3 linked regions of the Cricetulus griseus genome follow. The protein of the gene in region 1 interacts with the protein of each later gene in a biochemical or structural test. Links are inferred from orthologs where the notes say so. Each region holds a gene or a part of one and is shown in the gene's direction. Other genes may lie near its edges. The genes, in order: Mark3, Cdc25c and Ksr1.

Region 1 (10,149 bases):
TTAAAACGTTATTTTAAGTGTGTTTTGACTGTGTGTGTGTGCGCGCGTGTGTGTGCACACCTTGTGCCTGAGAGGCCAGAAGAGGGCATTGGATCCCCTGGAGCTGGAGTTCCAGAAGGTGCTGGGAACCTAACATAGGTTCTCTACAAGGGTCGCAAGTACATGTAACTGCTCAGCCATCTCTCTAGCATCCCCCTCCCTTTTTGAGACATTGTCTCACTATGTCATCTTGGCTGGCCCGGAACTTTCTACACTAGCTTGGTCTCAAACTCATAGAGATCCTCCTGTCTCTGTCTCCCAAGTGCAGGACAGACAGCTCAGAAAGTGAAGTGCTAGCCGTACAAGAACAGGGACCTGAGTCTCATCCCCAGAACCCAGGTTAAGAAAAGCTAGGTATGGCCGCTTTTTTTTTTTTAATAGTGGTGTCGCACGTCTTTAATCCTAGCACTTTGGAGGAAGAGGCAGGCGGAGCTCTGTGAGTTTGAGACCAGCCTGGCCTACAAGAACTAGTTCCAGGACAGCCTCCAAAACCCTGTCTCAAAAAAAAAAAAAAAAAAAAAAAGCCAGGTGTGGTGGTCTGTGCTTGTAATCCCAGGCCTGAGGGGGCAGAGACAGGCAGATCCCTGGGGCCCATTGGACAGCTAGTTTAGCCTAAATGGTGGGGAGTTCTAGACCAAAGAGCGATCCTGTCTTTCAAGACTGCTTTGCCCACCTGGGATTTTTGTGGACTTTGGGAGATCTAATTCTTCTGCTTGAGCACCAAGAGCTTCAACTGCTGAGCCATGTCCCCAGCCCCGAGTGCATTTCCGAATTGCAATGGATTTGTCACGGTGCTCAAGGTAGGTGCTGCTTTAACAGGAAGACAGGAAACAAACGGTTGTACATCTGAAATGTTAGCATGGGGGGTGGTGAGGAAAGAGGATAGGAATTTGAGGCCAAACTGAGCTACACAGCAAGACCATCTAAATAAATATATAAATAAAGGGGAGAAGAACCAGGCAAGAAACAAGAATTCTGAAAGGGAAAGCAAGGTGTCTTCTAACAACAGTTTAGGGTCTAATTGCCCCATCCTTTCCAGATAGATCTCAGATGCACAAAGTTCAGGAGCACATGCGTTCCTCTGGGGGGAGCAATGCTCTCCTCCTCCTCATGCCCTGTTGGAGCTCCTCTCCTTTCCTTTTCATGAATCACAAGCATGCCTGCCACTTCCAGGTCTTTTTTTTGTTTGTTTTATTGTTTTTTGTTTTTCGAGACAGGGTTTCTCTGTGGCTTTGGAGCCTGTCCTGAAACTAGCTCTTGTAGGCCAGGCTGGTCTCGAACTCACAGAGATCCGCCTGCCTCTGTCTCCCGAGTGCTGGGATTAAAGGCGTGCGCCACCAATGCCCGGCTCACTTCCAGGTCTTTATTGAGCCTTTACAATTCTGGGTCTTCAATTTTAAACTTCATGAAAACTAGGAAATACTAACCTTGAGGTTAAGTGCTGTCATCGTTATTCCTCACCTTTGGCATTCACTGACTCACTGTTTAATGTGCAGCACAAATGAGCAAATCCCCCTGGGGGAGGCCACATGTCCAGTTACTTCTCTGGCCGATGTGGAATGTTCTCCAGTGTCCACAGGCTTTTCCAAAGCCCCTTCCTGAGGCTGACAACCTTTTGGAGGCTTTCCTCAATTTATCAGGAAACAATGTTGAATCACCAGAATTCATCAGGGTTGAGGGGAGACCTGTTGCCATGCTGTCTAAATCTACCTGGCTCTCGCTCGCCCTTTTTGTGTTTGAATCCATCCTGCCGTTCCTCACCGCCATGCCTCTGTGTAGCCAGCCATCAACCCATCTTCAGAGTGAGCATGCCCTCTATAGGCTTCCCCTGACCCAGACCCCCAGTGAGACTGGATGCCCACACTTGGCCTCCCTGCTCTGGAGCACACTTCCAGTTATCACAATCTACATTTCAGCTGAATTGTGTGGAACAAACGCTTGATTCAGAGGAATGCCACTGCAGGTCTCTGCTTGACCAAAAAGGGAGAAAGAGAGTCACATTTCAAACAGGGTCGGCCGGTCCCCTTGAGCACACACACCCCACCCTAGGAGGGCAAGATGGGAGTTCTGAATGTATCTTAACCCTGTGTTGTTTTGTATCGGCATCCCCTGACCTCTCTGGAAGTGATACTGGTGTTTAAAGGTCTGTGTTTCACGAGGAAGGAAATGTCCCAGATACAGCAAGGCATTGGGATGCTGGGGACAAAAAACAAAACCAAAGCAAGCAAGCAAAACATAAGAAGGAAAAGAAAGCAAAGCCAAGTATAGTCACTCACAAATCTACCTATTTCTAAAGCTGTAGGAATGGGGTTTAGGTCCTTCTACTATAACCAACACAGATGATCTAGTTAAGTAGCTAACTTGTCCAGACTTTAGATCACACACTGCGTCTGCCCATCTTACCCTGAGGCTTAATGAATAATCAGTACAAGGTGGGCTATGAGTAGCGCTTTGCATTACCCCAGCTTACACAGCTTACACAGGCCCTCTTTCTCTGTACCAATGGATTCCATCCTCAGAAGACATTGAGGTGACAGGGTGAGGAGGGCTTCCAGAAGACCAGCCTATTCAGAGCTCCGGCTGCAGGTCACTCAGCCCGGCCCAAGCCTATAGCAACCTCACTGTCTTGGAGGCTCAAGCAGGAGAGGGAAGTAGGAAGGGAACGCGAGGGAGGGGAGCGAGAGGAGGAGTGGAGAGGGAAGAGGGAGACAGGCAGCGGTGGGAGAGTGGGGGACAGAGAAACACTGCGGTACAAGCCCCTACCGGCATTTAGTTATGGATCCCTGGGTGCGTCTTCGAGTTCGCATGCCATTCTCGCCGCCGCCTTGGTCTCTGCACTCTGTCATCCGCGCGGGGACTCGGCTGGGCCGGGTTCATGACTGGACGCTCGATGGACACCTCAGTTGTGGAGCAGGGGCCCGGCTCCTGCGCTCTCCGCCAGGCCTGTGACTGACTGCTGATGCGGTAGCTCCATCCTTGGCTGCATCCGTGGCCCGGGGAAAGCGGACTGAGCTTCTGCAAACAGCAGCATCTGCAGGCGTGGTGATGCGGCCGGCCGGGGTCAGGGCTCTGTAAACGTCGGGCCCACCCGGAGCGGTCGGGGATGCCCGGGCGCTCGGGACCGCTGGAACTCCGCTGGAGCCGCCAGGGACCAAGCCTGCGCGCTCGGCACCGCACCTCCGGCTCAGAACCAACGGGACGAGTCGCCCCTAGCAACAGCAGCCGGCACTCGCTCCCGCCGCGCTGATTGGCGGGACTCCAGGCGGCGGCGGCGGCGGCGGCGTCACTTCCGGCAGCCGGAGGCCGCGGAGGAAGCCGAGGGGCGGCCATCTTGGGTCTGTGAGGCTCCTGAGGTGCCGGGGCAGCGGCGGCGGCGGCGGCGGCAGCCGGCGGGCGAGGCCGGGCGGAAAGCGGGCGGAGAAGGGAAGGCGGCAGGGCGTGGGCGCCTCCTCCGCGGCCCCCTCCATGGTCGGCGCCTGCAGGCCGCGGCGGCCTGTCTCGCGCTTCGCCTGCGCTCCGTCCTCCTGCGCCGCCGCCTCTTCAGGGGCCGCCGGCCGCGCTGTGCGGAGCCCCGGGGCTGAGCTCCGCGGCGCCGCGGCTGCGGGAGGCTTGCGCCGCCCGCCCGCCAGCCAGGCGGCCCCCTTCCGCCGGGCTCCTCGCCGCGGCCGCCGGCCGGCGCTGGGGGAGAATGAGCCCCGGGGCCCGCGGGCGCACGGCCCGGGCCAGGCCGGGGATCTAGAGTCCGGCCGGGGAGGCCAGGCCCCGGAGGCTCGCGGCCGCTGCTCGCCGGGCGCCCGGAGCTGGGCGGTTTTGTTTTCGCCTTGGCGTTGTGCGGAGTCAAAGCGCAGTAAGATGTCCACTAGGACCCCTTTGCCAACGGTGAATGAACGAGACACTGAAAACGTGAGTGAGCGGGTGGGTGGGTGGGTGGGTGGCGGACCCTCGGGGCGGGGTGGCAGGCAGGCAGGCAGGGGCCACCCAGGCCAGACGCTGCCGGCGGGGCTCAGGGCGCAGCCCCGTCCTGCCGCGCGCGCCTGCGGCCTGCGCGCCCTCCTTACGGTCGGCTGAGCATTGCCGGCCGCGGCCGGGGCGCGTTCGAACCCGGCTCTCCTCGTGCACCGCGCGGCCTCAGAGCCCGCCTGTCCTGGGTGGGTAGGATGGTGGGATGCAGTCGGGGTCCTGGACGGCCCGTTGAAATGGGACCAAGTTAAATGACAACCGCTGAAACTAAGTGCCCCACGCGGGGGAGAGGGAGACAGACAGATAGCCTGGTGCCCCCCCCCCCCCGTAGCTTCCGAAGACAGAAGAGTAGCTGTCTGTGCTCGAGAGCCGCTGCCTTTATCAAGGAGTAGCTTCCCGTCCTGGCGAATCTTAAGTCTGCTCGGAAGCAGTAGGCTGAGAGTTTCGAGAGGCAGATGTGGCGTGAAGCTCTGCTCTGCTCTGCCCTGCTCTGTCCTGCTGCCCAGCTGAGGGACACCCACTGAGCTGGCCTTTCCTTCTGCTGCAGAGGCTCTCAGGCCCATTCCAGCGTGCACACCCAGCAAATCTATGTAAAGAAAGAATTTTGTTCGAAAGGACCTCCAGGAACAAATCAAACAGCAGCCAGGAACAGCGTTGCTAGTAGGGAGTGACAAACGTGTAGAAGTCGTATTGAAGAAATGTTAGACCTGCCCAAGTGTGTTGTCTTGAACCCTTCTCCTTTCATTGGATTCCAAAGTGTTCCGGCCCAGCTTTGTGCTCTGTAAAGCATTTAGCAAATAACTTGTAAAGAAACTTCACTGGCCTTTCATTATACAGAGCTATGAGGTAACCGCTGGCAAGAAAATGCCATCTCTTTGGAAAAGCCTCCGTGCTCCCCGGTACTCATGCTTTGCGCGCCATCCTTAGACACGGTGACCTAGTGGTGTCTGGTACCTTCATTTTAATCTTCAGAATGCCACTTGGAGCTTGATAGCTACTGAGTAATTTGTTTATGTAGCCCCTAGTCGAAGTCATCTCTGTATTATATCAATATACAATTGTATGTTCTTCCACTTGAGATAGGTTAGAAAATTACCTAGTTAAGAGAGCTTAAATTAGACCTTTCCTCTTTTCTTCCTCCATCTTCCCCGTTTCCCCTTTCCTTCTCTCTTTTTTTTTTTTCTCTCTCTGCCTTCCTTTCTTCATTCCATAGTTCTTGCTTGGGCTGCTCCAGGGAGCCTTCTGCCTCATTCTCCCCATAGCTGAGAATCAGGCTCGAATCCTGAGACCTTTTTTACATTCTTATGAGGAAACTTACCTTTGACCTGATTGATCATCATAATCTATTGCTACCTCAAAAATGAAGCAAGTAAATTGATTGATTGGCTTTGATCATTGTTTTTTTTTTTTGTTGTTGTTGTTTTTGTTTTGTTTTTCAAGATAGGGTTTCTCTGTGTAGCTTTGTAGACCAGGCTGACCTGGAACTCACAGAGATCTGCCTGCCTCTGTATCCCGAGTGCAGGGATTAAAGGCGTGTGCCACCACTTCCCCAGTCCATCAACACTTTTTAAGTGGACGTTCTAATGAGCAGTCATATAGCTACCACCAGTTAAAGATACAGAACATTTCCATTTCCCAGAAAGATCTCATTTCTGACCCTATAGCTTTACCTTTTTATTTTTGTAAGTTGGGCCATAAAATGTGTAACTTAAAAAAACAAAACAAAACAAAACAAACAAAAGAAACAATTGGGACAGGGCTAGAGAGATGGCTCAGTGGTTAAGAGCACTGGCTGCTCTTCCAGAGGACCCAGGTTCAATTCCCAGCACCCACATGGCAAGTCACAACTGTCTATAACTCTGGTTCCAGTGGATCCAATACTCTCACACAGACATACATTCAGGCAAAACACCAATGCATGTAAGATGAAAATAAATAAATCATTAAAAAATTGGGACAGTTTCACAGTGTAGCAGAGGTTGACCTCAAACTCATCCCCCTGCTTCCTCCTCTTTAGTGCTGTCATTACTAGTGTGGATGACTTCATCCACGTAACATAATGCCTTGCAGGCCTTCCTGCCTTTTCTTTTTTCTTTTTGAGACAGGGTTGACTTAAGTATCCCTGGCTATCATAATGTTTTTTGTTTGGTTTGCATGCTGCTTTTTGTTTTGTTTTGGTTTTGGTTTTTCAAGACAGGGTTTCTTTGTGTAGTCCTGGCTGTTCTGAAACTCAACTCTGTAGACCAGGCTGGCCTTGAATTCAAGAGAGGTGCCTGCCTCTGCCTCAAGAGTGCTAGAATTAAAGGCGTGCGCCACCATTGTCTGGGCAAGTAATACTTTTGAGATTTGTGTTTTCAAGTATACTAGTAGTTCATTTCTTTTTATTGCTTGTTAATATTTCATCAGATGTACCATGATTTTTTAAAAAATTCTTTTACCTGATGGTGGTCATTGGTTATTATGACTAGAACAGCTGTGTGTGTGTGTCAAAAGACATCCTAGGCATTTTAAATTTAAATGATTATATTCACTTGTGTTAAGAATACTGTTCTAGCCTTTGTGTTGCCTGTTCACCTTTGGTCACTAGTGAATGTGGTGTCAAAAAAGGCATAAATTAATGCTTTGCAGCCATTGCTTACCCTGGAGTTCAGTGTCTTGGGTGTAGGAGCTTCGTAAGTAACAGAAAATCTAAAAAAGAAAAAAAAAAAGTTGTTCATTGAATCAAGTAAGAAATGGGGCTGAGAGTGTAGCTTGGTAAGTATAGTGTTTGCCTGGCCTTTTTTATTTTTTGGTGGGGGCTTCTTTTTGAGAGTATGTCTCACCATATAACTGGCTGGCCTGGAACTACCTATGTAGACCAAGCTGGCCTCAACTCAGAGAGACCCACTTGCCTCTGCCTCTTTAGTGCTGAGATTAAATTTGTGGACAGATGCATCCTAGCTTTTAAGAAGCTTTGGCTTTTATCTGTAGTGTAAAAATAAATAAAGATAATTTGTAACAATATTTTTTCCCTCCTTATACACTATTTTTTTTTTTTTTTACCCCGAGATAGGCTTTCTCTGTGTAGCTTTGGAGCCTATACTGGCACTCACTCTGGAGACCAGGCTGCCCTGGAACTCACAGAGATCCACCTGCCTCTGGCTCCCGAATGCTGGGATTAAAGGCGTGCGCCACCAATACCCGGCCATATACACTATTCTTTTCTCAGGTGTTTGATTTCCACATTACTATTTATCTTTATGGATAGGAATATAAATGTTCACTGTAGCTCAGAAAAACTAGTTAAACATTTGGGTCCAGAAGATGATATGTCCAGCCTCCTAGAACTGGAATTTTAGGCGGTTGTAAGTCACCCAGTGTGGGTGCTGTGAACTCAGCCTGGGTCTACAAGACTTCATAAGAATTCAGCCATCTCTCTGACCCAAAAATAGAATGCTTTTTAAAGATGAAAGAAAGTTTAGCTTTCATTTTATGTTTTATAGTTGATTTGCATAGAGATCTGTTTAGTAAATCCTCTTTTTATATTTGACAAATTAGAAATGAATTTTTCACTTAGATTTCAAAGCGTTCGGCACTTTCTAAGCCTGGATTGTTTGCTAGAGGACTGGAGGTAGAGGTTTGCTAGTTAACAGCTCTAGATATTTACTTACTGTTTAATGTCTCTGTGGCAGTGGTCCTCAACCTTGGGTCTCCACCCACTTGCCAAACCTCTGACTCTGAAACTATTTACATTATGATTCATAGTAGTAGCAAAATTACAGTTATGAAGTAGCAGCAAATATAATTTTATTTTTGGGGGTTCATCGAAACATGAGGAACTGTATTATTAAAGGGTCACAGCATTCGTAAGGTTGAGAACCAACCTCTGCTGTCCTGGAATTCTCTATATAGACCAGGCTGGCCTCAAACAGAGATATTCCTGCCTCTGTCCCCCAAATGCTCAAACTAAAGGTGTGCCCTACCACACCAGCTACATCAGGTGTTCAGCAGTTAGTATAGCATGGTCACATCATTACTTCTGTGAACTTAACTAGTGGAGGTGATGTCTAGCCAGCTGTTGATTGGGTGACACTGCATTAACCTGTGAACAAATTGGAATGCGTACAGCAGCCTATGAAGCTGTGCTGTGGAGGGTGTACTGAACACCTGAGAACCAGATGGCTCCTGTTAGGACCTGCTTGTCCAGCAGAGCAAAGTACCCAGGCTTTGTGGAACTAGTCTGTACTGTCTAACCTGAGCAGACATACCTGGAGGGCTGCTGGTGCTGACATGCTCATCTCTAGTTCTCACCTCAAAGCTGGCTGCTTCCCGCCAGGTTCCAAGACAATGATCAGGCACACCCAGGGACCACACTTTAGAAATTTTCAGCTGGCTAATTAGGCTTTTGGTTATCTAGGTTTTTACAAGAGATTTTTTCCAGATTCTATGAGTGTTTTTTTGTTTTGTTTTGTTTTTGTTTTTAAGACAGGGTTCTACCATGTAGCTTTGGATGGCCTGGAATGGCCTATTTAAATTGGCTGACTTCAAACTCTGTATGAGTTTTCATGAGTCACTTTAAAAGAAGGTGTGCAAGCTGGCAGTGTGGTACACTCCTTTAATCCCAGCACTCAGGAGGCAGAGGCAGAGGCAGAGGCAGGAGGATCTCTAAGTTTGAGGCCAGCCTGGCCTACAAAGTGAGTTCTAGGACAACCAGGGCTATTACATAGAGAAACCCTGCTCAAAAAACTTAAAAAAAAAAAAAAACAAGTAAAAAAGAAAGTGTGATTGTGGACTATAGGAATAGTTACTCTTGTTCTTATTTCACTATATTCAGGCAACATGTAAAGTAATTTATATAGTAGCTTATTTAAATATGTAGTATGGGGGGCTGGAGAGATGCTTCAGGGGGTAAAAGAGGACCCAAGTTCAATTCCCAGCACCCACATGGTGTCTTAAAAACAGCTGTAGTTCCAGGAGATCCAACACCCTCGGTTCACTTTGGGCACTAAGTGTATATGTGGTGCACACACATACATGGAGGCAAAACACCCATACACATAAAACAATGTAAGACTATGTCGTAGTTTGAACTGGGAGTGATATTAGCACATGCTTGCAATCCTATGGACTGCGGTGACAGAATTGTATATAATGGTCAGTTAGTTGGAGGTCAGACTGGGCAACTTAGTGAATCTTGTAAAAAAAAAAAAAATTTTTTTTTTTTTGGTTTTTCCAGAGTTTCTCTGTCTAGCTTTGGAGCCTATCCTGGCACTCACTCTGGAGACCAGGCTGGCCTCGAACTCACAGCGATCCGCCTGCCTCTGCCTTCCAAGTGCTGGGACTAAAGGCGTGCGCCACCAACACCCGGCGAATCTTGTAAAAATTTTAAAAATGACATTTATTCATTACTTTAAAGTTTTTATTTTGTGTATAGTCCCGGAAGTCAACTTTTACTTTTTACGGCGTGCGCCTTGGTGATTAAACTCAAGCTTGGCAGCAAGCACCTTTACTTGCTCAAAATTCTCACTTGCCCCAAATTATTTTTTTCTCTTTTGTAAGCTTCTTATTTTATTATTTTGTGTGTATGATTGTTTTGCCTGCCTGTCTGTCTGCACTACAAGTGTAACTGTGCCAGGAAACACAGAAGAGGTTGTTAGATCCCCATGGAGCTGGGGTTTCAGATGGCAGTTAGCTGCCTGCTGTAGTTCAAACCTGGGCCCTCTGGAAGGACAGACAGTGCTCTTAAACCAAACCAGTGGTTCTCAACACGTGAGTCAGGACCCTTTTAACAAACCTCTGGTTTCAAAAATATCTACAGTACGATTCATAGCAGTAGCAAAATTACATTTATGGAATAGTGAATATAATTTTGTGGTTGGGGGGTCACCACATGAGGAACTGTCACAGCCTTAGGAAGGGTGAAAACCACTGGCTTAGAGACCTATACCCAGTTTACTATAAATTGATTGTACCTCATACTTTATTTCAACAGGGATTGTTGTGTGGTAAGCAAGTTGTGTGGGTAATCCCAGCACTTGAGAGGCAGAGGACTGGGGAGTAGATCAAGGCCAAACTGGATGGATGGAGATATATATATATATATATATATATATATATATATATATATATATATATAATCAAGACCCTGGATGTCTCTCTGTCTCTTTCTCT
Region 2 (10,036 bases), on another chromosome or scaffold:
ACTAAGACTTTAGAAAACAAGAAACATGGACAAGCTTTCAAAGTCTTCTGGGCTAAGACCTTTCCTACTTGAGAGAAATCTCAAACTTATTTTTAGGGCCTAGATTTCGGGAGAATTGGTCATTCTTCACCTTTGCTAGAGCACTTGGTTTCCAGTTCTCTTTCCATCACTTGACAATGAGCTACAGCCATTTGGTTGACATTCTTGTTGCGACCACCCACAGATGCACTCACTTGGGGGACCTGCTGCAGAAAGCACTGGTAACCAGGTGTGCACTTGCCATAAACTAGCTACTTCTACCTCTGCTGCAGGACCACTTCATCTGTCTCGACTTCCCACCTGCAGAGAAGTAGACGGTGCCTCAAAAAGTATGACTATAGCCATCAAAGCAGAAATAAACACATCTCATACTCCCTTAAATCCCAGCCTTATTTTCCAACTTACCTGGCATGACAAGGCTCTGTGATGACTCCCACACTTACCATCTCTGTCCTAGAGGACAAAGACTTTTTACACACCCCCTTTCTGGGGGAGCAGTTTCTGCAGATAAAAGGATATTAATATAGAAACAGGATGAATATCCTGCATCTTTCAGCCACTGTCACCACCAAGACCCTCATGGCAGATAAAGGTTTGGGTTGGTTTGTTTTGAGACAGGGTATTTCCCATTTCCCATAGCCCTGATTGGTGGTTTGAAATTAACTAGCATCCACATTGTAATGATTTTCCTACCTTGACCTCCAAAGCTCTGAGATTGCAGGAGTGAGCCAAGTGCAGCTTTTTTTGGGGGGGGGAGGGGAGTATGAGATGAGGTTTCTCTGTGTAAAAGCACTACCTGTCTTGGAACTTCCTCTTCCTTCTGCATGCTGGGATTAAAGGTATACACCACCACCATCACTGTTTTTTTTCCTTTTCATATGTGTGTGGGGTGTGTATGAGTATGTCTGTTCACATGTGTGGATACATATGTGTGCTTGTGCATTAGATCAGAGACTGAAGGCAGGTGTCTTCACCTTGTTTTTGTTTTTGCTTTTTTTTTTTTTTTTTTTTTTTCCGAGACAGGGTTTCTCTGTGGCTTTGGAGGCTGTCCTGGAACTAGCTCTTGTAGACCAGGTTGGTATCGAACTCACAGAGATCTGCCTGCCTCTACCTCCCGAGTGCTGGGATTAAAGGCGTGTGCCATCACCGCCTGGTTGGTGTCTTCACCTTGGTTGGTGTATATTAAAGTAGGGTCTCTCACTTGAACCCAGAGCTCACAGATTTGGCTAGTCTAACTAACCAGTTTGCTCCAGGTGCCTTTGCCTCCTGAAGGCTAAGATAACAGGCAGGTCATCATACTACCTAGCATTTACGTGGGTTCTAGGAATCTAAATCTGGTCCTTATGCTTGCTCTGCAAATGCTTTATTGACTGAGCCATTTCTCTGGTCCTCAAATCCAGCTTTAAAGGTTATTTTTCTGACTTTTCTTAAAAAGTGGTCTGCAAACCAGTAGCACCTGGCAGCCTTGATCATTCCTGGGCCATAATCTATATATCTATTGGTCTGTACTTAAAATAGTTCCTAAGGTTTTATGTTAAAGCATTTCGTGCCAGGCAGTGGTGGTGCACGCCTTTAATTCCAGCACTCTAGAGGTAGAGGCAGGCGGATCTTTGAGTTCAGGGCCAGCCTTGTATACAGAGCAAGTTCCAGGACAGCCTCCAAAGCTACACCAAGAAGCTGTCTCAAGCCTCCTCCCCTAGCCTCTCAAGGGCTTAGACTGCAAGCTCTCACCCCCAAGTTCCCCACATTTTCTTTGATAATGGGTCTCATTATGTAGTGAAGACTGGTAATTCTCCTTCCTCAGCCTCTGCCGAGCTGGGATTACAAGTGGGCATTGCCATACCCAGCTTAATAAATTTTAATTATGAAAAATTTCAAGATAGGTGTGGTGACACATGCCTGTAATCTCAGAATTTAGGTGATTTGGGCAGGGGAATCATGAGTTTGAGGCCAACCAGAGCTATATGCCAAGATCGTGCTTCAACTAGCCATTAAAGGGGAAAAGGAAAAGGGGCTGGAGAGATGGATCAACAGAAGAGCATTGGCTTCTCTTCCAGAGGACCTAGGTTCAATTCCCAGTGCCTACAGGGCAGGGATCTGATACCTTCACACAGACTTACATGCAGGCAAACATGAATATACATGAAATTTAAAAAAAGCTATAGAAAAGAAAAAAAGTAAAATCTATTCTGAAGCAGAGTGCAGGAAACTGGATGACTACACATGCCTGTAATCCCAGAATTCAAGTGGTTGAGGTGGAGGGATTTCAAGCTGAAGACAAGTTTAAGATAAATGACACACAAAAAGTACAGCCTAATGCTTTGCTTCTCAAGAGTATGGCCCTGGGGTCTCATACCCAGACCTACTGAATCAGAATCCACTTTCTCAGGATCTCCAGGTGATTAGTATGTACATTAAATTTCCCACCCAGACGTCACTCCTAGTCATGCCAATTATCTTATCTATACTCACGCCCACTCGCAAAAGATATGAAAGAAGAAAAACAACCTAAGAATTTCTCGGGCTCAGGGCCTGGAGAGAGTTGTGGTTAAGAGCATGTATGGCTCTTGCAGAGTTTGGTTTTTTTAGCTCCCATGTTGGGCAGCTCACACTGCCAGTAACTCCAGTACTGAGGGATTGCCTCTGACCTTCCAACTTGCACACATACAATTAAAAAATAAGTCTAAAACTAATTTCTTGAGCCAGGTAGTGGTGGCTCACGCCTTTAGTCCCAGCACTCGGGAGGCAGAGGCAGAGGCAGGTGGATCTCTCTGAGTTCAAGGCCAGAGCGAGTGCTAGGATAGGCTCCAAAGCAATACAGAGAAACCCTGTCTCGGAAAAAAAGAAAAAAAAAATCTTGGACTGGGTAGTATCAGCTAAATGACAGTAGTTGTCCAGCGTTCCCAAGGCTTGGATTCCATTCCTATTACCACCCCCACTACCACTACCATAATAACTCTCCTCCTGCCCCCCTCCTCCTCTTCCTAGCAGTGTCTCCCTCTAGCCCCGGGTTATCTGGAGCTCACTCTGTCCTCCTATTCGCACTCTCTCAAGTGCTGGGATTGCAAGCATGAAACCACACCTCTCCCCACATATAAATACAATTTTGTTAATGTTCAAAGCCGCACAAATAGCCAAAGTTTAAGATCCTTTAGAATGTCGTGAGGATTACGTCAAAACGTTCAATTCTCCTACTCTCCCTGAAAAGGAATTTCTACCCAGAAAACCTCTTGGAATGGGTCAGGGGCGGCTCAGCATCAATACACACCTGCCACGCCCCAACAACTGCCACACTGGCGGCAAATGCTCCATTTCCAGCCGAAAGCTAACAAAACTCAAGAGAAACGACGCGAGAAAGAAGCAAGGAGAAGAAAACACTTCACGCAAGAATAGTTCCTCCAGACCGTCATCGTTAGCGGGGCTCGATTCAAATCTCCCGGGGTTGCTGGGGCTGGGGGAATTGAGTACTTGAAGGGTGTGACGATTGGCCAGAGGGAGAGCCAATGAGCATCAGACTCTCTGTGTGGCGGAGATGCCTAGTCGACCAGGTACGACCCTAGCGATTGGTAAGGGGGCAGGGTCCTAGTCTCGCACGCTGATTGGCTGACGCTACTGGCATAAGGACAGTGATAGGCTGTTGAGAGAGCGGAAGGTTTGAATGGTCAGGCCTATGGCTGTTGGTCTTGCCCTTCTGCCAATTCCGGAGAGAAGCAGCAAATCTGGACCTCGAGCTAACTAGATACCATTTTAACTCGAAGACCCTCTTCTCTTCCTCAGATTCCTTCTCATTCGCTGGAGTCTTCGCTTCCGTCCAGTTCTGCAGGAGTTTCTTTCTCCAAATTCAAATCTGCCTCTAAACTGAAGGTAAGCCGAGAGCTGTGTCCGTTCGGGAATCTCGGACACCCGATTGTCCCTGCAGGGTTCTTGCGGGGACCGGAGGTCCGAATAGCCTTATCGCGTTAGGTAGATCCAATTCTTCTGGCCAAGAGTGTGAAGCTGAACGATCCGGATCAAGCCAGTCTTCTCTCCGTTCCTCCTTTGAAGGCCTGAGCTTGCCAGGTCTCTGTAAATTTTTGCCCTGAGCAGTGTGACATTCCAGCGTGTTATACTTGATCCTTTGGGGATCCTTTTGGGGGGTGCTCCTCCACCCGGGCCTAGGCAGGCACTGGAAAGGGCGGAGAGGTTGGGAAAGCTGAGTATCTGTAGTGTTTTTCTCCTAGATAGCCACCCCTCTTCTTCCGTGAAGACTCCGAAGTCATGTCTACAGGACCCTTTCCATCTGCAAGAAAAGAGGGAAGTTTTGTTTCAGCACCCAGTTTTAGGTCCAATCAAAGGAAGATGTTAAACCTACTTTTGGAAAGAAACACTTCTTTCCCAGATTTCCCCAAATCTCCAGGAGACAAACTTCTCGACTCGACAAACCTAAGCATTTTGTCTGGGTAAATTTATTTTTTTAAAGATTTATTTTTTAATGATGTGTAGACGTGTGTGTGTGTGTTCCAAACGTGGGTATGTGTTTGTGATTATAGGTGGTCTCAGAGGGTCAGAGTTTTGTACCTGCCTGAAGTTATAGGTGGTTACTCTGCCTTAAGTGGGTGCTGGGGCCCTAACTGCAGTATTCTGGAAGAACAGCAAGCTTTTTTTTTTGGGGGGGGGGGCTGTTTCTAGACAGGGTTTCTCTGTGGCTTTGGAGGATGTCCTGGAATTAGCTCTTGTAGACCAGGCTGGTCTTGAACTCAGAGATCCTCTCACCTCTGCCTCCGGAGTACTGGGATTAAGGGCGTGGGCAAACCCCAACCCTGGGGAACAGCAAACTCTTAACCATTGAGCCATCACTCCAGCCGGTAAATTAACTTTTAGTTTTATACCTTGTCTTTGGTTTTATGAACAGGTTTGTTTTCAGAATTATACTGTTTCGAGGTTCAGGGTTTGTCTCAGCCATGACCTTGAATGTGTGACTCTTTTGAGTCACATTGGGCTTCCTTTCCATGTAACAAACAATAAAAAACGTCTTTTTTTTTTTTTTTAAAGATTTATTTATTTCATATACATTGTTCTACCTTATGCCAGAAGAGGGCACCAGATTGAATTGTGGTTGTGAGCCACTGTGTAGTTGCTGGTAATTGAACTCAGGACCTCTGGAAGAGCAGTCAGTGCGCTTAACCTCTGAGCCATCTCTTTAGGGCCCCCCCGCCCCCCCGTAAGTGTCTTTTTCTAAATGGGACTTGGTGGAGGATGTTTCTGATCTCACCTTTCTGGAAGCTGAGTCAGGATGACCACAGGTTCAGCCTGGGCTACTAGTAAATTTCAAGACAACTAGTGGGCTCCAGAGTGAGGCCTTATTGCAAACAAACAAATAATAATAAGAAAAATCATTTTCTATCTTAACAGGAATAATCTTTTCCTGTCATGCCAGAATCAATGTGATGTCTATGAAGAACTCTGAAAATTCTATTATTATGTTTTATGAGTTGGTCACTTTAATTGTATCAGTTTTAGTGTTGTACTTTAGAGTCTAGTCATATTGTCTTTACACCTCGTAGCAAACAGGATTTGAGGAATAGTAGAGATTCCGAGGAGAAATTGAATTTGTGTTCAGGGTGAACGGGGTAGAGAATGTGAGGTCAAGATCCTATTTACTGGGCAGGTGAGATGGCTCAGCATGATGGGCCCAGGTTAGAGCCCCTGTCTCCTGGAGTTGTCTTCACACAAGTATGTGCTCATACAAAAAAATGTGGTAAAAATTATAAAAAGATCCCTTTAGATTCTCATTAAATAAATCCCATCTCCATATGTTGGTGAGAAGAAAATTAGTCTCACATTTTTGTTTTTGTTTTGATTTTGTTTTTTGTTTTTTTGCTTGTTCAAGACCAGGTTTTTTTTGTGTAACAGCCCTGGCTGTCCTGGAACTCACTCTGAAGACCAGGCTGACCTTGACAGAGATCCACCTGTGTCTGCCTCCCTGGTGCTGGGATTACATTACTGTAATAGAGAAAAAAGTAGGGGATTGCTTTTCTCAGCCCAATCTGAGCTATTTCCAAATAGCAGATTTATTTGGATGTTGTTTAGATCTTTGTGGTAGTAATTGAGAGTGAAGACATGATCTCTACCTTTTTTAGGATAGTACTCCCTAATGGAAATCTTGATATATTTTTATGTCTCAACAGAGGAACCCCAAAACGTTGCCTTGATCTTTCAAATCTTAGCAATGGAGAGATGTCTGCTTCTCATCTTACCACTTCTGCTGACTTTGATGAAACAGGTAGGGGGACAGTCTTTAAAGAGAAAACTAACTTTAAGATTTTTATTAAACTTTTATGTGTATAAATATTTTTGCTTACATGTATGTGTACCACATGCATGCCTGGTATCCTCAGAGATCAGAGTATAGTTGCGAGTTGGATCCCCTGGAACTGGGATTACTGACTGTTATGAGTTACCATATGGATGCTCGGAAAGGAACCTGGATCCTTTGGAAGAATAGCAAGTACACTTAACTGCTAGCCATCTCTTAGGCTGAAGAGGTGGTTCCGTCTTTAAACACTAAGACTTACAAATATAAGGAAGGAGGAAAGGACAAGGTAATAGGATAAAAATTGAAGATGGTGAAAATAGGTTAAAAAATCAGGTGTATTAGCTTATGTAAGCCTAGCACTTGGAGGGCTGAGGCCAGCCAGCGCTACTACATCCCAAAATCCTGAGAGAAAACATTTGCCTAAAATTTTGAGGTTAGTTAATTTTTTAGTTGAACGATAAATGGAAAGAGAAAATAACAGTAATAGAAATTGCTATGTAGCTGGATGGTGGTAGTGCCTGGTCTACAGAGTGAGCTCCAGGACAGCCAGAGCTACACAGAGAAACCCTGTCTCAAACAAACTTAAAAAAAAAAAATTGTTATGTATTAGAAAAAGTTCTTCACTGGGCGGTGGTGGCGCATGACTTTAGTCCCAGCACTTGGGAGGCAGAGGCAGGCGGATCTCTGTGAGTTCCACATCAGCCTGGTCTACAAGAGCTAGTTCCAGGACAGCCTCCAAAACCACAGAGAAACCCTGTCTCGGAAAAACCAAAAAAAAAAAAAGAAAGAAAGAAAGAAAGGAAGAAAGAAAAAGTTCTTCAAGGAAGGAATGTATTTTGTTGACTGATTGATTAATGGTGGAGATGAAAGTACAGTAAATATTTTTTTATATCTCAATTTAGTCTCAGATCTCAGTAGAAGCAAAGAAATTGGCCTAAAGAAATACTTTGTTCTACAAGACCCTTCATTCAATCCCCAGTACCCTCCGAACACTTTGAAATACTTTGTCAACTAATTGGGCTCTCTCTCTCCGAGTGTGTGTGTGTTTCTGAGTCTAAAAAAAGTTTTGCTAGTAGACCATTCTAATATTTGCTTTAAGTTGAGATTCCCGAGTAGCCACTTCCTTTTCTGTTTGTTTTCTTTCTTTTCTTTCTTTCTTTCTTTCTTTTTTTTTTTTTTTTAAGATTTTATTTATTTTTTAGTATGTATACAGTCTCCTGCCTACGTGCCAGCAGAGGGCACCAGATCTCATTCAAGATGATTGTGAGCCACCATATGGTTGCTGGGAATTGAACTCAGGACCTCTGGAAGAACAGTCAGTGCTCTTAACTGCTGAGCCATCTCTCCAGTCCCTCTGTTTGTTTTCTTAGGGAGGGGAGAAGATGTTGGCTCAAGATAGTTTCATGTAGCTCAGGCTGGCCTCAAACCCACTTTGTAGCCTTTGAACTTCTGATTTACCTGATTTTACCTCCTAAGTGCTGGAATTACAGGCACTTTTGTGTGTGTGTGGTTTTTCTGTTTGTTTTGTTTTTGTTTTTGTTTTTTCGAGACAGGGTTTCTGTGGCTTTGGAGGCTGTCCTGGAACTAGCTCTTGTAGACCAGGCTGGTCTCGAACTCACAGAGATCCGCCTGCCTCTGCCTCCCGAGTTCTGGGATTAAAGGTGTGCGCCACCAACGCCCGGTGCTCACCATGCTTTTATGCTGTGCTGAGGATTGAACCTAGGACTTTGTGCACGTTAGGCAAAAACTGCCAAGTAAGCTGCATGCTCAGCACATTATTCTTCATAACTGATTGCAGGTTCCTTGGATTCCTCAGGACCTCAGGATGTACAGTTAGCTGAGAAGTAAGTTCTGCTGTTAAATAGTCTGCATGCCTGAGCCTTCCCTCATCAACCACAGGTTGTCCTATGTGGACTCTGCAGACTGTGAAGTACTTCACTTGGGATATTAGTGGGCTTGGAGGCCTAGATTCTCACTTGACAGCTTTTAAGTTTTCTAGTTCTAAATAGCATTGTGAAATGCAGGCTATTTTAAACCAGCATACACAGAAATATCTTGTTTTTACGTGAAGGGAAATGGTATACTGCACTCATGCCAGGGCTTCTTCTTACACGTGAGAGGTGCCGTATTTTAGTGGCTCAGGATACAGGTTCAGGGATAAGATTGTCTAGGTTCTGGTGCTTTACTACTTCAACAGCTGGGTGTGACCCAATTTCTTAACCCATTGGATCGAACTTTCTTTCTTTATAACATGCGATAACAGTGGTGCTCTGTAAACAGCTATTGAAAAGATTAAAAGTGAGAAGGCTGGGCCACCTGAGACACTGTCTCAAACAAACAAAACACCACTCAAATCAACAATAAAAACAAACACTAATCATAGCCAGGTAATATGGTTTACATTTGTAATTCCAGAACTCAAGCCGTCAAGGCAAGATGATTGTGAGTTCAAGGCCAGCCTGGGCTGTGTGAGACACCATCTCCCATCTCTTACTTCCCCCCACCCCCCCAAAAAAAGAAAGAAAAAGAACAAAACAAAATATGTATCTAGCAAATACCAAGCATTTTATGTTTATTGTTATAACTATGATGAAGTATTTCTTGGAGATCCTAAAATATTTAGCTGGGAGTGTACATGGAATAAAAACTGATTTCAATTCAACCCTTTCAAAATTGATACTAGGTGGTGGTGGTGGTGGTGCAGGCCTTTAATCCCAGTATTTGGGAGACAGAGGCAGATGGATCTCTGTGAGTTCAAGGTCAGCCTAGTCTACAGAGCAGTTCCAGGACAGCCTCCAAAGCAATACAGAGAAACCCTGTCTAGGAAAACCAGAAAAAAAAAAAAATCAAAACTTATTAAAAGCTTTCTATGGCAGTTTTTAGGAACATGTGTAAAAATTCACTTGCATTGTTCATGTTGTCTTTGAACTGATTTTTCTTTTCTTTCTTTCTTTCTTTCTTTCTTTCTTTCTTTCTTTCTTTTTTTTTCTTCAAGACAGGGTTTCTCTGTATAGCCCTGGCTTGTCCTGGTACTCTTCAGAACATGCTCCAGAGTGCTGGGATTAAAGGATTGTGACACCACCACCTGGACTGATTTTTCTCTTTTATATTTTTTTCTTGGAGGCAGGGTCTCATTGTAGTCCAAGTATGACCTTGAACTCCTACTTCGGCCTCCTGAATGCTGGTTCTATAGTATAGTGGTAGACCACAGGCCTGGCTTTGGGTTACTGTAAATAGCCTGTGTTGTATATTCTGGGTGGAAATGGAGGAAAGGTAGAAATTCAATCATTAAAAAGAGCCTCCTGTCATCAGTGTTAGAACAGTACTAAGTCATAGATTGTTCCTGTGTAAGATGTGAGACAGGAGTGGCAGGTGTATACTGGTTGAATGCCTAGTTTATACAAGGCCCTTGGTTCCATCCTTAGCACCAGAACAGGAATAAGAGATGTAAGGCAAACTCCCTTTGGTACCTATTTATCCTGTCTGGTTTTGCTGGTGAACTTAATACCCTGCATATTGTTGTTGAAAGAGATAAATAAACAAAAACTAGTGCTCCTTGAATAGGAGAAAGGAAGAACTGGGGTGCTCCTAAGCACTGAAGAACCAAACTGTTTGGGGATTACCTGACTAGTTGGTTTGTCTTTGTTTTACTCTACAGGAATCATCACCAGGACCCAATGAAAGGCATCCCAGTAGGTAGAC
Region 3 (10,115 bases), on another chromosome or scaffold:
TGTATGAGGAAGAAAGAAAAGAATGAAGGAAGGAAGGAAGGAACGAACAAACGAAGGCAGGCATTTCACAGTAGTATGGTGCCATACCCAATCCCAGAAACCTGAGATAAAAGGATCACTATAAAATTGAGGCCAACCTAGAAACTACATGGTGAGTTCAAAGCCAGCCTACACTATGTAAGTGTAGGCTAATACTTTCTTATCAAACAAACCCCAAGAAAGTGCACCTCTCCAGGATGATGAGCACATTATTCACATTGAAGATTGCATCCAAGTGATGCACATATTTCTTAGATTGAAAATGGCATCCAGAAAACCCAGCTCTGGGTGTGTTAGCCTAGACTTCAGCAGAAACCTGCTTGCTCCTGCTGTACTGCTGACAGGAAGGTGACTGCCAGGAAAGTAGATGTGAACCTGAGGTACAGCCTGTACCTGGCTGCAGGGTAGCACTTCCCTGATAGTGCCACTGTCAGGATGAGCACTTTTATCTTTTATCTTTTATCTCACCTTCCACCCACAGGCTTGACCTGTTGAGTCTGTCTCCAGCATGTGTGCTGTTTCCTTTTCCTCCTTGGCTCCTCTCTCCAGCCCTGACCATTGCAGGAGTCTCAAAACCGGGAGCTGCTGCTTCAGCCCTGGTCTTTTACGGTTTGCTCTTCATGCTGCAGATGGAGGGATTCCTTTTTTTTTTCTTTAAGCTTTTTTGCAAAATAAAATAAAAAATATAGCAGAAGCAAGATATATATATATATATTGAAATATATACTTGTATTATGTATATTATAGACATGTAAATATACACTATATAAACATATATATGACTTTCACTTTGTGTGCTTACAGAACCAAGCTTCTTTGTTTGAGACAGGGTCTCACGTAGTTGAGGTTGGGCACAGAACTCTGAAGCTGACCTTCAGTGGATTCACTTTCCTCTCTAGCACTGTGCTGACAAGTCTGGGCTACTATACCATGCTTCTTGGTGGCATCCTACATTACATTGTGTGTATGTGTTTAATTTAGATTTATTTTTACTTTTACTCGTGTGTGTGTGTGTGTGTGTGTGTGTGTGTGTGTGTGTGTGTGTGTGTGTGTATGCACATGCACATGTGGTCAGGTGCTCAAGGATGGCAGCCAAGAGGCTGACATTTTTCTAGTCTCCAGCCCTGCTGCTGACGTCATAGTGGCATGGGTAGTCATGAATGCCACAGGCTGTAGGACAGCAGGGGTCTTTGTCAGGGTATGGGGGAAAAAAGTGGGCCTGAGAGCTGGGGAGATGTCTCATTTGGTAAAGTGCAATCCTAAGGACCTAAGTTTGATGTCCTAACCTCCATGTAAAAGGTGGGATAGCAGTGCATGCCTGTAATTCCCGAGGCTCATTAGCAAGCTAGACTAGCAGAACTGGCTACCCCTGGGGTTCAGTGAGAGATCCTGCCTCAAAACAATAAGGTGAAGAGTGATTGAGAAGTCCAGCCCATCCACTTTCTGCACTGTGGCTTCTTAAAGCATGGTATCCACACTAGCAGCATCAGTACCACCCAAGAATTTGCTAGAAATGCAAATTCTCAAGGCCCAGGCTTGGATCTATAGATCAGGAAACTACAGGCTCTGGGGCTATCATTGGAGGATGAGCAAGTCCTCCAGTTGACTGTGATGCTTGTTCAAGCTTGAAAAACACCATTGCAGTTTTATTTCAGGGTAGTCATTTCTCTAATGCAGGGTCTGAAGTGGGGCTAAGGTAGTTGTCAGGGCTGGGGGATTTGTCAGTACAGCACAGGGGTCTTGTTCATGCCGAGTGAGGACTGCTGTATCATCATTGTCCTTTGAGACAGGGTCTCACTATATAGTTTAGGCTGGTCTCAAGTGAGGAGTCCTCCTGCCTCAGCCTCTAGAGTGCTGGGATTACAGGCATGAGCTACCACACGTCGCTGAAACTGTGACTGTTTTTTGTTTTTGTTTTTCTGAAACAAGATTTCCTCTGTGAAACAGTCCTGGCTGTCAGTGATAGTTTTGATGTGTTAGGTTAATTTTACTTTATTTTTATTGTATTTATTTACTTTTTCCTTTCTTTCCTTCTCCTTCTCTTTCTCCTTCTTCTTCTTTTGATTTTTCCAGGCAGGGTTTCTCTGTGTAGCTTTGGAGGCTGTCCTGGAGCTCTCTCTGTAGACCAGGTTGGCTTCGAACTCAGAGATCTGCCTGCCTCTGCCTCCTGAGTGCAGGGATTAAAGGCATGCACCACCACCTCATAGCTGCTTAATTTTATATTATATATATGAGTGTTTTTGCCTGCATGTATGTGACTGCATAAGTTAAAAGGCTTCAGAACCCCTAGAACTTGAATTACAGATGGTTGTAAGCCATCATGTAGGTTCTGAAAACAGAACTCTGGACCTCTGCAGGAGCAAGTACTCTTAACTGGTGAGCTATCTCTTTGCCCCACTCCCCTCTTGAGGTAAGACCTGACTAGATATATAACCCAAGCTGGTCTTGAATTCACTATGTAAAAACTAGGTTGGTCTTGAACTCACTGAGAGGCTCCTGACTCTGCCTCTGGAGCTCAGGGATTAAACATGTGTGCCACCACACTTTGCTTCGTTTTTCCTTTTTTACATTGGTAGATGAGACGGACTAATAGGAGAGTGAACAGGTGTGATGAGGCTTAAATGCTGGATCTTTAAGTCCTGGGAAATACTGCTGCTGTGGCCACTGAAGGCTTGCTCAGGGTCTAATTCAGGAAGTCTGAGTTTATAAAAGAGCTAACGTTTATACATGGCCACACGTGCCAGTAATTAATCTGAGTGCTGTGCAAACATAACCTCCTTGTTTTAGAAACCTGGGTTAGGTGGCTACTACCTCATCTAATGTGAAATGAAAAGCCATTTGTCCGAGTTCATGTAACAGGCAGTGGAGTAGTGGGAACCAAATTTGAACTCAGGTTCTATCTGCTTGGAAACTCTTAGGAATGTCTAACAAATTGATGTGCTGCTCACATGTCATCTGCAGGGTATTAGATGTTAAACTTATTTGTTGAGTAAATAGAATACAGAAGAAAGTCCTTTCTCTTTGCCTGTCCATTACTTTGGTATAGACCATTCAGGGTCAAAGTCTATGGGAACCAAACACAACTCAGGGTCAAGTGTTGTGAGAACTAGTTGAGGGTGTGTGTGTAGGGTGGTGGTAGTGTCCTTTTCTTTTCCCTCGAATCAAACCTAAGGCCTTATCTTTGCCAAGCAAATGTTCTGCCGCTGAGCTACATTCTTAGCATATTCCCCTATATGGAGGTCCCTAAGCTCCCGCAAAAATTTGGGACCCTCAATATCCCACATTACAGGGCTCATCTGGGTGTAAGCCATCAGACCCTGCCCCACCCTATTCACCGGTGGTGGGAAGCTACTAACGTGTGTGCGGTTGCATGCGTGAGAAGTGGGTAGTAGTGGGAGGTGGGGGTTAAAGGAATTGAGGAGGATGAGGAACCGGGTTCCCAAGACCACGAGCCACAGGAATTGGAGCAGGCGCAGAGCAGCCCCTCCTAAACGTCAGGCGGGGCCAGAGTGCGGGCGGGGCCCCGAGGGCGCGGGCCTGGAGGCAGATGGTGCGGCGCGGACTACAAGTCCCAGCATGCCCCGCGGTCTCGATCCGGCCCCCGCGGCCGCTTAAAGGCTCCAGCAACCGCAGCCGTCGGGTCGCGGAGGCTTTCACTTTGCCGCCGCGTCTGGTCGGCGGGAGGAGCGGACTGGGCGCCTGGCTTTCAAGACTTCTGGCTTTGGCAGCGCCGAGGGGCGCTCCTAGTGCAGCCCTCCCGGCTTGAGACTTCTCCGCCGAGGCGCCCGTGCCCCCGGGCTCCTCGCCTCGGCCCCCAGCGGCCCCGATGCCGAGGCATGGATAGAGCGGCGTTGCGCGCGGCGACTATGGGCGAGAAGAAGGAGGGCGGCGGCGGGGGCGCCGCGGCGGCCGCGGACGGGGGCGCAGGGGCCGCGGCCAGCCGGGCGCTGCAGCAGTGCGGCCAGCTGCAGAAGCTCATCGATATCTCCATCGGCAGTCTGCGCGGGCTGCGCACCAAGTGCTCTGTGTCCAACGACCTCACGCAGCAGGAGATCCGGACCCTGGAGGTAAGGGGCCGCGGCGCCCGTGGTCCCGATCCCGCTGTGCCCCGGGAGCCGCCCCGCTGCTTTCCTTCCCGAGTTGCATCCTGCAGCCGGGTCTGCTGGCTAGAGTCTTCCTCCCTTGCTGAGCTCGCTGATGCTGTGCCATGAGGACATACGACCAGCTCTCGCTTTGGAAGGATTTGGGGGAAGGGGTGTTGGGGGGGGGGTTGTGTCCAGGCTCGAGGACCCGCGTGTGGGCAAGGATGTTCACGGGCATCCCATTGCAAACCCCTCTCCACCCTCACCCCATTTCCAGTGCCCATAGTAGTCATTGTCCCACTGAATCACGCGCTGGACTTTTCTCGGTGTGCTTAAGCCCGGTAGCGTGGGCTGGGGTGATGGAGGGACGTCCCCTGAAGTGTGAGCATCGGCCGGTGGCACTGACTTTCCCTCACTACCCACTCTCCTTGTCCCGTTGCCCTTTCCTTTCCTTTCCATCAGGTCTTGTCTGCCGCTTTTCAAAAACTGTTTGCTGAAACAGCATTTTTGCTGTTCAGGCGTTGGAGTGCTTTTCTTTCGCGATGTCACAACGGTTCACTGCTTAAAATGAAATTACCCATTGATTTCCCCGCTCTGCCTGAAACATCGGGCTTTGGCCTAGGAAAGATTATAGTGGTGAAGGGAACCTTTGGTAAGAACACACTACTTGAGGGGGTTGCTGATAGTGATGACCTGGAGTGCAGTGAAAAATAAGATGTGTGAGCTGTCTTCTGTCAAATTATAGCTGGGAAGTGGAGCATTAAGAGGATTTGGAAGAACCAGCCAGCAAGGTGGTTGGGATTTCAGAAGGGAGAGCTCCCCCACCCTTACACATTGGAGGAAAAACTAGTGCCTTCCCAGCTTGCTTCCAGGGACTGGGAGACCTTTGAAAGTGAAGGGCCAGTTAATAGGTCTGCCCTGAAGAAGGACGTTTTCTTACCTGGCATTACCACATCTGTGCTTCTGTAGGTCTGAGGATGTCTGTTTTTATTAGATATGTGATTTTACACACACACACACACACACACACACACACACCATTGCTAAATGCATCTGCCAGATGTCATAGAGCCAGCCAGTAATTGCTGTAATTATTACAAGACCAGTCCACCCTTCTCTCACACCACAAGCCTGAGTCCTTGTTTGATCCAAAATGCTCAGGGTGACTCCCTTAGCTGTATTTTCAGAAAAGCCACAAAGCCAGGGACGTTGGGAGACTCCAACCAGTGCTGGCTATTATTATTGTTTTTTGTTATAGTTGCTATAGCAGGACTGACCAGGGCTTTGCTTATAAAACAAACCAACAAAGCTCTGCACCAGGCTTTTCTGCATGTGGATTTCTTGAACACAGCTGAGTGTGTATGCCCCACATAGTTCAGTTTTTAAGCTGATACAATAGGAGGCCTGTGTGTCTTAGTTCCGGGGTCGTTGTCCAGCAGTGTATGTCTTTTGAACTGCTGTGTTGCTGGGTGGAGAGAATGTTCTCTGTGTTAGCCTCTGTGGTCCTCCTCAAGTCTTTTTGAGGTGCTCCTGGATCCCAGGGTGTATGTAGAATGGCTTACTTTGTATTCTCTGCAAATTCTCTTTGTCTTCTAATGTTGCACATTTTGACAAAGTTGTGGCATTAGGATACCTCAGAGTTTCCAGCTGTTCAGGCCCCTGAGCTGGTTAGGCAGCAGCCTCCCCACTGTGTGCATTGTGAGGTCAACCCTGGTGGCATTCAAAGGCCCAAGGGTCATTTGCAGAATGAGCAGGACAAGTGCCCTGTTCTTTGCAGTGTATTTGAAGGACCCTTCTGGTCCCTGAAAAGACAGGACTTTAGGTGGCATTTCATGGGGATTTTGACCTTGGAGCTGGTTCCCCAGGACTGCTACCAGCTAGTTTGGGTGAATCACATCATCCCTGGGGCCTCAGCTTCCCCATCTGCTTGGATGAGGTTGGAGTGGTTCCCTTCAGGCTGTTTCTGAAAAGCTTTGCATTCTGTGGTTTAGAGTGTGTGTGTGTGTGTGTGTGTGTGTGTGTGTGTGTGTGTGTGTGTATACAGTTGGATTGAGTTAAACATTTGTGTATGCTATTCTATGTTGATGTCCCTGTTTAAGAACAATACTAAAAACCAGATGTACTGGACAGATTGTGTAGGAGATGCCTTTATTATTGTGAGCATCTTGACCGCAGGAGTGCTAGGGAACAGAAGGCCCACACAGCTTTATAATTGGTCCTGTTTCTGTCTAGATGACCTTGGGCAAGCCTGATAACTTCTCTCAAACTTCCCATCTGTAGAGTGGGGATGGAGTCCTTTCGCCTGTGTTAGATGGAGTCTGTGTCTGCCCTGCTATCAAAAACCTGCCTATAAACTTTCCCTGGTTGGGGTCTGCTGACATTCATGCACAGGGTACCTTTAGAAGAAGCAGCACACAGAATTCATTTTCCACAGGTGATGGCACAGGGCAGGAAGCAATCCCAGAAGGCTGGCTCAGAGCAGCCTTGTAGCATGTAGAAAGGCAAATAACTTGGGACAGTTTCACTGCCCTCTTGAATTTCTGATTTTTTAAAAATGTGTTTGTGTGTGACTTTATGTGTACCACATGTGTGCAGGAGCCCGAGGAGGCCAGAAGAGGGCATCAGATGCCCTGGAACTGGAGTTGCAGGTTAGCTGCCATGTGGGTGCTGAGAAATGAACTTGAATCCTATGCAAGAGCACTAAATTCTTTTTAACTTCTTGCTGAGCCACCTGTCTAGCTTCAGATTTCTGAGTGTGTGTGTGTGTGTGTGTGTGTGTGTGTGTGTGTGTGTTTGTGTGTAACCTTGAGATAGGTCTTATATAGCCCTGGCTGAACTCAGGATATAGATTAGGCTGAAAACTCATGGCTATTGTCTGGACTCTGTCTCCTGAGTGCTAGGATCACAGGTGTCTGACTGGAGAGCTTGTCCTTTACAGCTATGTCAGACTTCTGGCAGAATCTCAAGAGGCCCAGCCCACTTTGGCCCTCCTTAGCTAAACTCCTGTTGAGAGAGGCAGCTTGTGGGATGTCCCCCGTGGGCCCCTGACCAGGGGCAGATGGCTTGTGAAGATCCCAGATCATGATGACATGCTATCTGCTGATGGCTTTGCTCTGTGGAGCAGTATGACTTGGGTTGAAAAGGGAATTAAAAGGGGTGGGGAGTGTAGTGTAGCTCCATGGTAGAACGTTTGCCTTGTATATATAAGGCCCTGTGTTTAAATCTCCAATACTGCATTTAAAAGGAGGAGAAAGAAGTCAAGATTTAATGTTTGCTTCCTACCTGCCCAGCTGTGTGCTGACCTCCTCTTCACCTCTAGGATCTCCTGGAGCTCATCACACACATTTCCCCTGTCTAAATGGAAAGGGCAGGAGACACAACCAGAACTCAGTGTTTCTGGAATGAGGTTGCAGGGCTGTGTCATCAGGTGCCCTGTCATCTGGTGCCCTGTTTCTGGAAGCCCCTCTAGAGGCCTGATTACTACATGAAGCCAGGGGTGTGGGAGCTGTGCGCATGGAGGGACACCTGGCCTGCTGCACAGCTGGACCTGCTGGTGCCATCTGTGGGTCCCTGTGGGCTCCGTCTCTGCACTGGGGAGACAGTGGTGTACAATGCAGATGCATGCTCACTCTGTCGGCGCTCTGTAGCGCCTCCCAGAAGCTGTCTCTGCCTTGACTCAGTATCTTATCCTGGTCATAGGGTCCCTAAAGGGCTTTGCTCATGAGTCCTTTCTGGGGAAGGGCTATCAGAAAAAGTTATGGGTAAAGTCTCTGCTTTTGGCCACTTCCCTGAGCAGTTAGTTGCCCTGAAGCAGAGTTACCCAGGAGGCTTTGCTGTGTCTGTGCTAGGCAGAGTTCAGATTCTTCGGTGTTAGGACCTGGTTTCCTCATGGCACCTGAAGTACCCAGTGAAACTACCAGGAGTGGAGGGATGTGTTCACTGACCAGGCCCTCCATCACTGCTTATGGCAATCCTAGCTGGACTCTGGTAGGTGGGGTCTTTGGATGTGAGGGGCATGTTTCATCTAAAGAGGTAACCAGACAGGTGAACAGCAGGGACTCCACTACCATGACTGGCCGAGAGCTTTTTCAAGTGGGCCCTGAGTTAGGAATATCGTAGAAGCAGTCAGTCTGACTTACTGGTTCTGTAGGAAACATTGCCAGAGTCTTGGTGGCTGTTCTCAAGTCAGATGTCCCAAGAAAGATGTGACTAGAACCTGGTTCCTTTTTCTAACCCAGCTAGTGTCTGGAGAGTGACATTTCTGCTTCCATTTTAACCTTTTTGCCTGAGAAACTCCAGTTATCACCAAACGGACATGGAGCTGAGGGCCTGTCTCTTTTGGTGTCCACTTTCACCTTGGTGACTTTTAACCTGGGCAGACCCACTTCTCAACTGTCCCTCAGAAGAGACCTGAGGAGGAGGTTCTGTTTGTGAAGGCCGTGAGCCAAGCAGGGCTGGAGTGCTGGAGGGAGACCTTATTGCATCTGCACCCAGGACCTGGAGGCCGGGGTTGCTGCCTGGGATAGAGACGGAACACCTCCTAGCTGCAGGGCTGTTTCTTCTCTCAGACACCTGGTTTGGCTCATAATCCTGGGAAGCAGCATTCCATACCAGATGCTTCCCTGCTTGCTTGCTGGCTGTAGTCCAGAGAGGGACCATGCACAAAGGTGCTGGCCTGAGGTGACACTGACAGTGTCTGCAAATGTGTGGGTAACAAAACCTTGAGTCCTTAAGCTGAACTTTAAAAGCTCTTCATTACATTTGTTTATTTACAGCATGCTTGGGGAGGTCAGAGCACAAGTCTGTCTGGTCATTTCTCTCCTGCTACCATGTGGGTTCAGAGAATCGAACTCAGGTTATCAGGCTTGGCTGAAAGCCCTTTTACTCCCCTGAGTCATCTTGCCAACCCCCTAAGCTGGTTTTTTTTTTTTTTTTTTTTTTTTTTTATGTCCTCCCAGGGCAGACTGTCTAGTCCCATTTTTACATTTAGTTCAGAGGGTGTTTGCTTTCACTTGGTGACTTTTACTTTGGATGGATCCACTTCCCAAATGTCCTTCAGAGGAGGCCTAAGGAGGATATGCTGTTTGTGAAGGCTGTGGGCCAAGGAGAGCTGGGATGTATGGACCAGGACCTGGAGGCTGGGGTGCATGGACCAGGACCTGGAGCCAGGATGGAACACCTCCTGGCTGTGGCTGTACCAGCGTTCATGCGAGTGACCTCCACAAAGAGAGGGTCCACATACATGAGGAACATCCTTGAACATACTCTGTGAAGTCCTCTAGTGGGCCCTTAACATATGCTTTCTTACAATGATCATTTACCTGAGAAATTTCCTTCCCAGTTTGAAGATGAGGCAGCTGGAGCTAGGAGAGCCAGAGAGCCTGAGTCGGTGGATATAGTTGAATCTCAGTTGACTGGCATTGAACTTGCAGTGATCTGTCTGTCTTAGCATCCCCAGGGCAGAAATGTCAGGCATGTACACCACATCCCAGTCTTGAGAACTCATGTTGCAACTTTTGCAGTTGCTTGTAGAAAAGCTGCTGTTGGGAGGGTTGGGAGAGGGGTTCTGGTCAGTCATGAAGGACTGGCCCAGGACTGGCTCTGTTCCAGTGCATTGCTGAGCGACTGCCCTGTGTAGCCTGGAGTTTGAATGTTGGGTGGCTTCCCTCCCATTCAGCTCAGCACATCCCCAAAACAGGGGATGAGGCACCCAGCCCTGCCAGTTTCATTCTGAGAAAGGAGAAGCTGCTTAGAGATCAACTTACTCAGTTTTTTTTTCTTTTTGTTTTTTGTTTGTTGGTTTTTTAAAAGATCTTATTTATTTATTATGTATACAACATTCTGCTTCCATGTATATCTGCACATCAGAAGAAGGCAACAGATCTCATTACAGATGGTTGTGAGCCACCATGTGGTTGCTGGGAATTGAACTCAGGACCTCTAGAAGACCAGTCAGTGCTCTTAACCTCTGAGCCATCTCTCCAGCCCCCCCCC

The links.
Region 2: of the proteins of Mark3 (region 1) and Cdc25c, one has a biochemical effect on the other in vitro, tested with the Homo sapiens proteins (3 studies listed by BioGRID, with this or other methods). The link is inferred for Cricetulus griseus from reciprocal best matches to the Homo sapiens genes MARK3 and CDC25C.
Region 3: of the proteins of Mark3 (region 1) and Ksr1, one has a biochemical effect on the other in vitro, tested with the Homo sapiens proteins (2 studies listed by BioGRID). The link is inferred for Cricetulus griseus from reciprocal best matches to the Homo sapiens genes MARK3 and KSR1.

Annotation. Positions count from the first base shown.
Region 1 is NC_048598.1:182,457,215-182,467,363, reverse strand, and holds the start of Mark3 (MAP/microtubule affinity-regulating kinase 3), read left to right. Parts: upstream 1-3,371; 5' UTR 3,372-3,504; coding exon 3,505-3,942; intron 3,943-6,551; exon of another isoform or gene 6,552-6,684; intron 6,685-10,149. UniProt on the Homo sapiens protein: Serine/threonine-protein kinase. Involved in the specific phosphorylation of microtubule-associated proteins for MAP2 and MAP4. Phosphorylates the microtubule-associated protein MAPT/TAU. Phosphorylates CDC25C on 'Ser-216'.
Region 2 is NC_048595.1:202,740,779-202,750,814, forward strand, and holds the start of Cdc25c (M-phase inducer phosphatase 3), read left to right. Parts: upstream 1-3,697; 5' UTR 3,698-3,903; intron 3,904-4,259; exon of another isoform or gene 4,260-4,263; 5' UTR 4,264-4,296; coding exon 4,297-4,478; intron 4,479-6,206; coding exon 6,207-6,301; intron 6,302-8,132; coding exon 8,133-8,178; intron 8,179-9,992; coding exon 9,993-10,026; intron 10,027-10,036. UniProt on the Homo sapiens protein: Functions as a dosage-dependent inducer in mitotic control. Tyrosine protein phosphatase required for progression of the cell cycle. When phosphorylated, highly effective in activating G2 cells into prophase.
Region 3 is NC_048600.1:92,560,580-92,570,694, reverse strand, and holds the start of Ksr1 (kinase suppressor of Ras 1), read left to right. Parts: upstream 1-3,642; 5' UTR 3,643-3,875; coding exon 3,876-4,106; intron 4,107-10,115.